Linked DNA regions of Callithrix jacchus. The main gene of each other region encodes a partner of the protein of the gene in region 2 in a complex. Links are inferred from orthologs where the notes say so. Each region holds a gene or a part of one and is shown on either strand. Other genes may lie near its edges. The genes, in order: POLR2C and GTF2E2.

Region 1 (3,059 bases), on a different chromosome or scaffold from region 2:
GAATGGCTTGAACCCAGGAGGAAGAAGTGCAGTGAGCCAAGATCGCACCATTGCACTCCAGCCTGAGGGTCAAGAGCGAGACTTGTCATAATATATATATGTGCATGCTCTATCACCTAGCAGTTCCTTTCATTAAATTTTTTTCTAGTATTTATTGAACAAAGATGGCTTGGTATCTCTCTCTCTCTCTCTTTTTCTTTCTTTCTTTCCCTCTCTTTCTCTTTCCCCCCCTCCCTCCCTCTCTCTCTCTCTCTCTCTCTCTCTCTCTCTCTCTATATATATATATATATATATCTTTATCTCTCTCTGGCTTTTTCTGAAAATCTGTAGAAACGTTTTAAAACTAGAATAATAAGTACCCTTTTACTTTTCACCTATAGTTACCAGTTATTAATATTTTACATTTGCTTTATTTTTCATATGGTTGTTATTTTTGCTGAACTGTGTGAAAGTTGCAGAGACATCCTAACACTTCAGCATGCATTTCCTAATAAGAATAGTTTCCTACGTAACCACACTTTTATTATGCCTAAGAAAGTAAGCGTCAATTTGTAATATCAATATTCATATTTTCATAGTTCCCCAAATATTCTTTATTGTTTTCCTGTTTGTTTGTGGATCAGTCTTGATCAAGATTCATTTGGTCCTTATAGCTCTTTAGTCTCTTCATCTCAAACAGACTCTTCTCCTTTCAGTGCATTTTTTTAGGTTGAGTACCTTTTCATATTTTTAATCTTCCATTACATTTTGATTCTCTCATTTCATGTTTCTTTATTTTTCTATTTTTTGAGATAAGTCTCACTCTGTCACCCAGGCTGGAGTGCAGTGGCATGATCTCGGCTCACTGCAGCCTCATCTTCTGGGCTCAAGTGATTCTCCTGCCTCAGCCTCCCGAGTAGCTGGGACTACAGGTGCTGTGCACCACCATGCCTGGCTAATTTTCTTGTACTTTTTTGTAGAGACAGGGTCTCGCCATATTTCTCAGGCTGGTCTCGAATTCTTGGTCTCAAGTGATTCTCCCACCTCAGCCTTCCGAAGTGCTGGGATTACAAGTGTGAGCCACTGTGCCCAGCTCCATTTCATATTTCTAAGAGTAATTCTGCCTCTGGGGTCTGGGTTGCCTTCCTTCCTTACCTGTGTGTGACTGCAGACATCTCAGGTGGGACCTCTAGTTGCTTCTTCTTCCTTATCAGGCAAACATCAAAAGAATGTTGGGTTTTCCTCACTAGTGTGAGGGAGAAAACAGCTTGCTTGATTGCATCCTAGTAACTCTCTTCTTGCCTGAAGTTAAACTGCAGTTGGTAGTCCCTAACATGGGTATGAGCCAGTTGTTTTAAGAATGGCAAACTTACTAATTATGGAAGGTGGTTGATGGTTATGGGATGGCAGTGTCTTACATGCTTCTCTATTTTTGTATATGTATGAAGTTTTCCATAATAGAAAGGATTTTTTTAGAAAAGGTGAGTACTCTAGAACTTGAAAGGTACTTTTTTCTGTTCCTTGTTGGTTTTATTTTAAATGGTGGTTACATTCCCAAGCTGGTCCACTTAGTTCTTGGGAAGCTGAACTATAGAGTGTGGAAGCATCCTCCTCTCCCTCATAGCCTTGCTTCTCTGAGAAAGACTACTTCAAGGGCCAGAGTGAGATGTTAGCAGTGTGTCTGCAGAGGTGGCCTGGCAGCTGGTTCCAGTAGGAAGGAAATGTGGTGCTAGTGTATGTATAAGTTGTCTCTAAACTTGGGCAGTCCGTGAGAATGGTATACCAGATTGTTATAGCCCACAAGAACCTGGAGACTGATCAATCCCTTTTTACAGGTGAAGAAACTTAAAGAACTGGGTATTAGATGCAGGGAGCCAAGGCAGGAGTCGCCATCTCCCCCATAGACTCATTTCTGCTTCTCTTCCTGCCTCAGGACTGCACATGTGAGGAGTTCTGCCCTGAGTGCTCAGTGGAGTTCACCCTCGACGTGCGGTGCAATGAAGACCAGACTCGACATGTCACATCTCGAGACCTCATCTCCAACAGCCCCCGGGTTATTCCGGTCAGTGCAGGACAGCATCCTCTTTTCCCTTGGATCTTTTTTTGTTTGTTTGTTTGTTTGTTTGAGACGGAGTTTCACTCTAGTTGCCAATGGTGTGATCTTGGCTAACCGCAACCTCCACCTCCCGGGTTCAAGCACTTCTCCTGCCTTAGCCTCCCAAATAGCTGGGATTACAGGCATGTGCCACTAGCCCAGCTAATTTTGTATTTTTAGTAGAGATGGGGTTTCTCCATGTTGGTCAGGCTGGTCTCGAACTCCTGACCTCAGGGGATCCACCTGTTCAACCTCCCAAAGTGCTAGGATTATAGGCATGAGCCACTGTGCCTGGCTTCCCTGGGATCTTTTCTCTTTCTGGCTCCAAGTGGGCCAGACTGGGATTGATCCTTATAAAATGTTGACTTTCCCTGTTACCCTCTGCCTTAATCTGATCCCTAGAAGTTCTAATTCTGGATTCTTCTTGGGCATCGTTGCATCATTAGCATTGCTGGTGCTGTGCACCCTCTATTGCCCAGAGACTCTTTTGAAGGCCATGGAATTGTTTTGCCTGAGGCTATCACCACAACATGAAGTAGGGGTTGGAGTCCTCGGGGACATCTGTGCCACCGCCTTGTTAGGTGCCCCTTCCCTCATTGACAGATTACAGTCTAGAGGTTTTGGGAGTTGGATGCCAGAGGAAGTGACTGGGGAGGTGAGCAGCTAATGAATGCCTGTTGGCCTCCCTACAGGTGACATCCCGGAACCGAGATAATGACCCCAATGACTACGTGGAGCAGGATGGTAAGCCATGGAGTGAAAGTGCAGACATCTTCTTGACCTGTCACTGTGTGGGCCAGTGGGATGCAGACACCAGGCACAGCCTCGTACTGTCTAGTCTCATCGTAAATTGGCTTTAGACCCAATTTTCCAGATGTGTGTCGTCTTGCAGTAGCACTCCCAAGTCAGAATTTGGAAAACCGTCTCTCTCCAGGGCCTTGACTGACTTGTACCTCCCCCTGCAGACATTCTCATCGTCAAGCTG
Region 2 (4,529 bases):
TGACACAGCAAAACCCTGTCTCAAGAAGGGGAAAAAAAAAAAATGTCTATAGAAAATTTCCAATCTGGAGGTGGTCTGAAACAACTTCTATATTGTGGCTGTTTGTCCGGTTCTAAAACTACAACCCTAAGCAATTTCAGTACAATCAAGGAAGCTACAGGTCAACCAACAAGAATTCTAAACACTCCTTTCTTTTGAACTCTGCTAGTACCCTGCAGAGGGTCTAGGAAGACCTCAAGCTGACTATATAAATGAATTTGACACTGTTAAGACTAGTGTCAGCTGGGAGGAAAAAGACTCAAACTTTGAAAGCTTTTAAGCACAGGATAGCTCAATAAATATTTGTTAAATGAACAACACATGGAACAAGATCTTTTAATTGCTCTGGTCCCATGATTACTGGTTACACACGCCTTTATTAAGTGTCTTCTGTTTGCAAGGCATGTGCTCTAAGCTTTGAAAGGTTATGGAGGATAAATCCTAGTCTGCATGCTGCTTAGATTTGAGAAAATGAAAGCCTTGAGCTAAAAACTTAAAATATAAGCATTAGTAAGGAATAATCAGAGTGAATTTCAGTTAAGGCGTGAAGAATCACTGGATGGTGAATCAAAAACCTGCCTTCTCTCAGTTTTTTTGAGTTATTATTTTAATATATGGAGCATACATTTAACATATTTTCAAAATTTAAACAAAGTTTTTGTTTGTAAATGATTCTGAAGTGTGCATGGAAAAATAAATATTTCAATTTTTTTTTTTTTTTTGAAACAGTCTCTCTCTGCTGCCCAGGTGGGAGCGCAGTGGTGTGATCTCAGCTCACTGAAATCTCCGCTTCCTGGGCTCAAGCGATTCTCCTGCCTGCCTCAGCCTCCCGAGATGCTGAACTACAGGTGTGCACCACCATACCTGGCTAATTTCTGTATTTTTAGTAGAGAGGGGCTCATTCACCACATTAGCCAGGCTGGTCTTGAACTGCTGACCTCAAGTGATCCACCCACCTCAGCCTCCCAAAGTGCTAGGATTACAGGCAGAGCCACCACGGCCTGCCTCATTTCAATTCCTAAGAGCCACATGGCTAGGCAACCCACAAGGCCACTACACTCAATTTCACAAGTAAAATGAAGACGCTGCCAACGCTGTCCACGATCCAACCCAATTTTAAGAATGAGAAAATGTGTACGTTATTTTTTAAATAGTAAAGTCATAAAAACATGTTATTTTAGTATTACTATTTTGAGTTGGATCTGAAAAAAAATAAGAGAATGATTTACCGGGCTGAGGAAGATAGGAGACAGCCTTGGGAGGAGGGAAAACGTGAGGACAAGAAGAAAGGAGAATTATCAATTGAGAAGGTGGGGGCAACAAGCAGATTGTAAATTCCTAAAACAAAAAAAATCTGTGTTTTATTTCACCTTAATCCAATTTCACCTTTGATTAAGGCAGGACCTTAATCCAGACTTTTAAAAAATGACCTTAGAAGACTTAAATAAACCCGTACAGTTTACAGCAAACTAAATGCTTACAATATTTGACCCTTGCAACTCTCGGAGCGAAAAGTTGTTAGTGTTATTCCTATTTTAATACGTGAAATGTGAAAGTGAAGCTGTCTGATTAAAGGTCGCACCGATGGAAGAACCAGGGTCAGAACCCAAACCTCCTGACTCTTAAGTCGAATGCTCCTTACACCAGACCTGGAACGCTGGTAAAGGCCTTTAAAACAAAGGCGACCTACGAGGTTCTGGAACATTCAAAGGCACCTAGAGCAGAAGGCTTCGCGATGTCTTTCACCATCACATGCTCTAACTTCTCCTCCTTTTTCAAAGACTACTCAATATTTGTACTAAGTTTAAGATCTCAGGACCCACCTGTGTAGTAAACAAGCTACATCACTATGTCCATTTTACATTAAAACAAAACAAACTACCACCACAACTCAAAATGTTCACCGGTTTCTCCGTGGGTAGATATGGAAAACCCATAAATTAAACGAAAAGCTGATGGTTCCAAGCCCACGACTCTTGCCACCATTCGACCTCTTTCAACCTTTCTACTTTCCCTCTCTTTTGCTTCTTTCCAAGCCTCAGAAGTGTCCAGGGCACCTCAGCACCCGGCTATGAACATCGGGCTGCTTCGCCTTTAAATGACAGCAGTTGGGAGGTGGGCGAAAAGGGGGCCGCAGCCTTATTGTGTGGAAAACATCTTTAGACTGCAGAAGTCAATTACTACCGTTAAAGTTTAGGAATCATCACAAACCAACTCTCCAAAAGGTAGCCTAGAAACCAGTTCGCGTATGAGAATCTAAATCACAGCCTTGAGCTGGCTGGAACACCGTGGCTCCCGAAACTCCACACGCGGTTCGCTTGGCTACCGCGCCCGTGAACTTGGAGGCTTGAAGGCACAGTCAGCAGACCGCGAATTTTCCCTCTTCCCAATCCAAAAGTTTGCTCAATGAACCTCCGGCCTAAAGACAATGCTGGGGGAACCGTTCGCGTGTTGGGTGTTTCGCGTCGAGAACGGCGGCCCCAGCTTCCCGTGGGGTGTAGGTCACGCTCGGCCCCCCGGGAAGCGGCGACGCGCCTGGGTCCCGGGGAACAGCAGGCCGGGGCTCCGCTCCCCTCACCCGGCGGCCGCAGCCCCTACCTGAGTGATTAGGGCAGCCCCGCGCGACTCGCCACCGCCTCCCTCCGCCTACGCCTCGGCCAGCCGCCCACGCCGGCACGGCAGCCTCTTCCTGTTCCTCGTCAGCGCCCCCGCCTGCCCGCACGCTCCCCCAGCGGGGACCCGCCAGGTCGGGGTCTCGCCACTTGCAGCGGCGGTGGTTGCTGAGGCGGCGACTCGACCCGGGACTCCGCCCGCCACTTCCCGATCGGGTGCTAAGAGCTCAGTCCCAGCAGCCACCGCGGCGCCATGGCCGCCGAGCGCGCGCATGCGTCATTGCGTGCCCTGTCTTGGGTGCCGCGGGAGCAGAAGTAGCCCGCTCGGGCGTCCTGTGGGCTCCATGACAACGAGGGAATGCTGGGGGCGGGGCCGAGGAGGGGACTGAGATGGGAGGCGGTGCCAGGGATGAGGAAAGGGGGCTTTCTTTACGGACGCTTAATTAAAGCTGCTACAGCCTGCCCCGGAGTGCGCTGGGTTGTGGTGAACCCAATCGGCGACTCTTGTCTTTCAAGGATTATTTTGATTTCTTTGTCTTTTTCTTACTAGTGACAGGATCTCACTCGATCGCCCAGGCTGGAGTGCAGTGGCGCTGTCTCGGCTCACTGGGGCTCCAAGCCCACGATTCCTGCCACCATTTAACCTCTTTCAACCTTTCTACTTTCCCTCTCTTTTGCTACCTTTTGGAGACTTGGTTTGTGATGATCCTCCGCCTCCCGGGCTCAAGGCATTTTCCCACCTCAGCCCCCAGAGTAGCTGGGATCAAAGGCGAGTGCCACAAGGACGGGCAATATTTGTTATTGTTGTTATTGTTTGTATTAATAGTGTCTCACAATGTTGCCCAGGCTGGTCTCAAACTCCTGAGTTCAAGTGATCTGCCTGCTTCGTCCTCCCAAAGTGCTGGGATTACAGGCGTGAGCCATCCCGCCCGGCCTCAACGGTTATTTTGTGACTACCCCAGTGCCACCCACCGTCACCTGCCCTCCGAGAAGGCGGTTCCAGCCCTTTTACAGCGAAGAACAGAGGCCCAGAAAGCTAATTAATAAACAACTTTCTCAAGACAGCATAACTAGCAAAGGCAGCCTGATGTGGAGCCCAGCCCAGGCTCCGCCCTTGTGAACTGTCTTAGGAAAGGATTTTGGATTCAGAAGCACGATGAATGGGTGAAAATAAAGCAATTGGAAAAATAATTGTCGTTGCCCGAACCCTGCAGCGTGGAGAACTTCCCTCAGTCTTGTAACCTAAAGTGGTAGTACAGCCAGCTCTCAGCCATTCTATGGCTCTAATTTAATTACTTGTTACTGATTACTCCTCAAGTTACTGAACCTGTGGCTTGGTTTCTCATCTGGGAAATGGGGATAATCATTGTACTACTACAATGAGTTACTTGCACTGGACTGTGGTGAAAATTAAATGAGAAAATACCTAAAATTTTATTCAAAACTTGGAGAAAAAAGTTGAAAGACAATATTTTGTGATCTTTTTGATTAGTTTCATTCTAGAGAATTTTGTAATAAGCCTACTTGATGATCATCTGACATGCACAGAAAATGTAACTTTGTTTGAATCACAATTGATTAGGGCCGAGAATATTTACAAAAGGATAAAATCAAAGAACTAGTAGGAAACTGATGAGGAGTAAGGGGAGAAAGGGGCAGGGAATTCAGTATGTATTAAAAAAAAAAAATCCCAAGGATTAAGGTTGCATTGTTCTGAGAAAAATTAAACCATTTTTGTATCAACTGAGCAGTCTTATTTCAGCATTCCTTTCCCCGACGATTATATAAATTTCATTTTTCAGAACTGGTAGAAATCAGTTTTGTGATTCTGCTGGCTCCGTTATTAATGAGTAAGAAACTTATACATATGGACAATGG

Evidence for each region.
Region 1: GTF2E2 (region 2) and POLR2C share a complex: the UniProt entries of both Homo sapiens proteins name them as parts of the TBP-based Pol II pre-initiation complex. The link is inferred for Callithrix jacchus from reciprocal best matches to the Homo sapiens genes GTF2E2 and POLR2C.

Annotation. Positions count from the first base shown.
Region 1 is NC_133521.1:15,346,502-15,349,560, forward strand, and holds part of POLR2C (DNA-directed RNA polymerase II subunit RPB3), read left to right. Parts: intron 1-1,912; coding exon 1,913-2,041; intron 2,042-2,766; coding exon 2,767-2,818; intron 2,819-3,039; coding exon 3,040-3,059. UniProt on the Homo sapiens protein: Core component of RNA polymerase II (Pol II), a DNA-dependent RNA polymerase which synthesizes mRNA precursors and many functional non-coding RNAs using the four ribonucleoside triphosphates as substrates.
Region 2 is NC_133514.1:31,805,990-31,810,518, forward strand, and holds the start of GTF2E2 (transcription initiation factor IIE subunit beta), read right to left. Parts: upstream 2,848-4,529; 5' UTR 2,638-2,847; intron 2,573-2,637; exon of another isoform or gene 1,944-2,572; intron 1,289-1,943; exon of another isoform or gene 1,269-1,288; intron 1-1,268. UniProt on the Homo sapiens protein: Recruits TFIIH to the initiation complex and stimulates the RNA polymerase II C-terminal domain kinase and DNA-dependent ATPase activities of TFIIH. Both TFIIH and TFIIE are required for promoter clearance by RNA polymerase.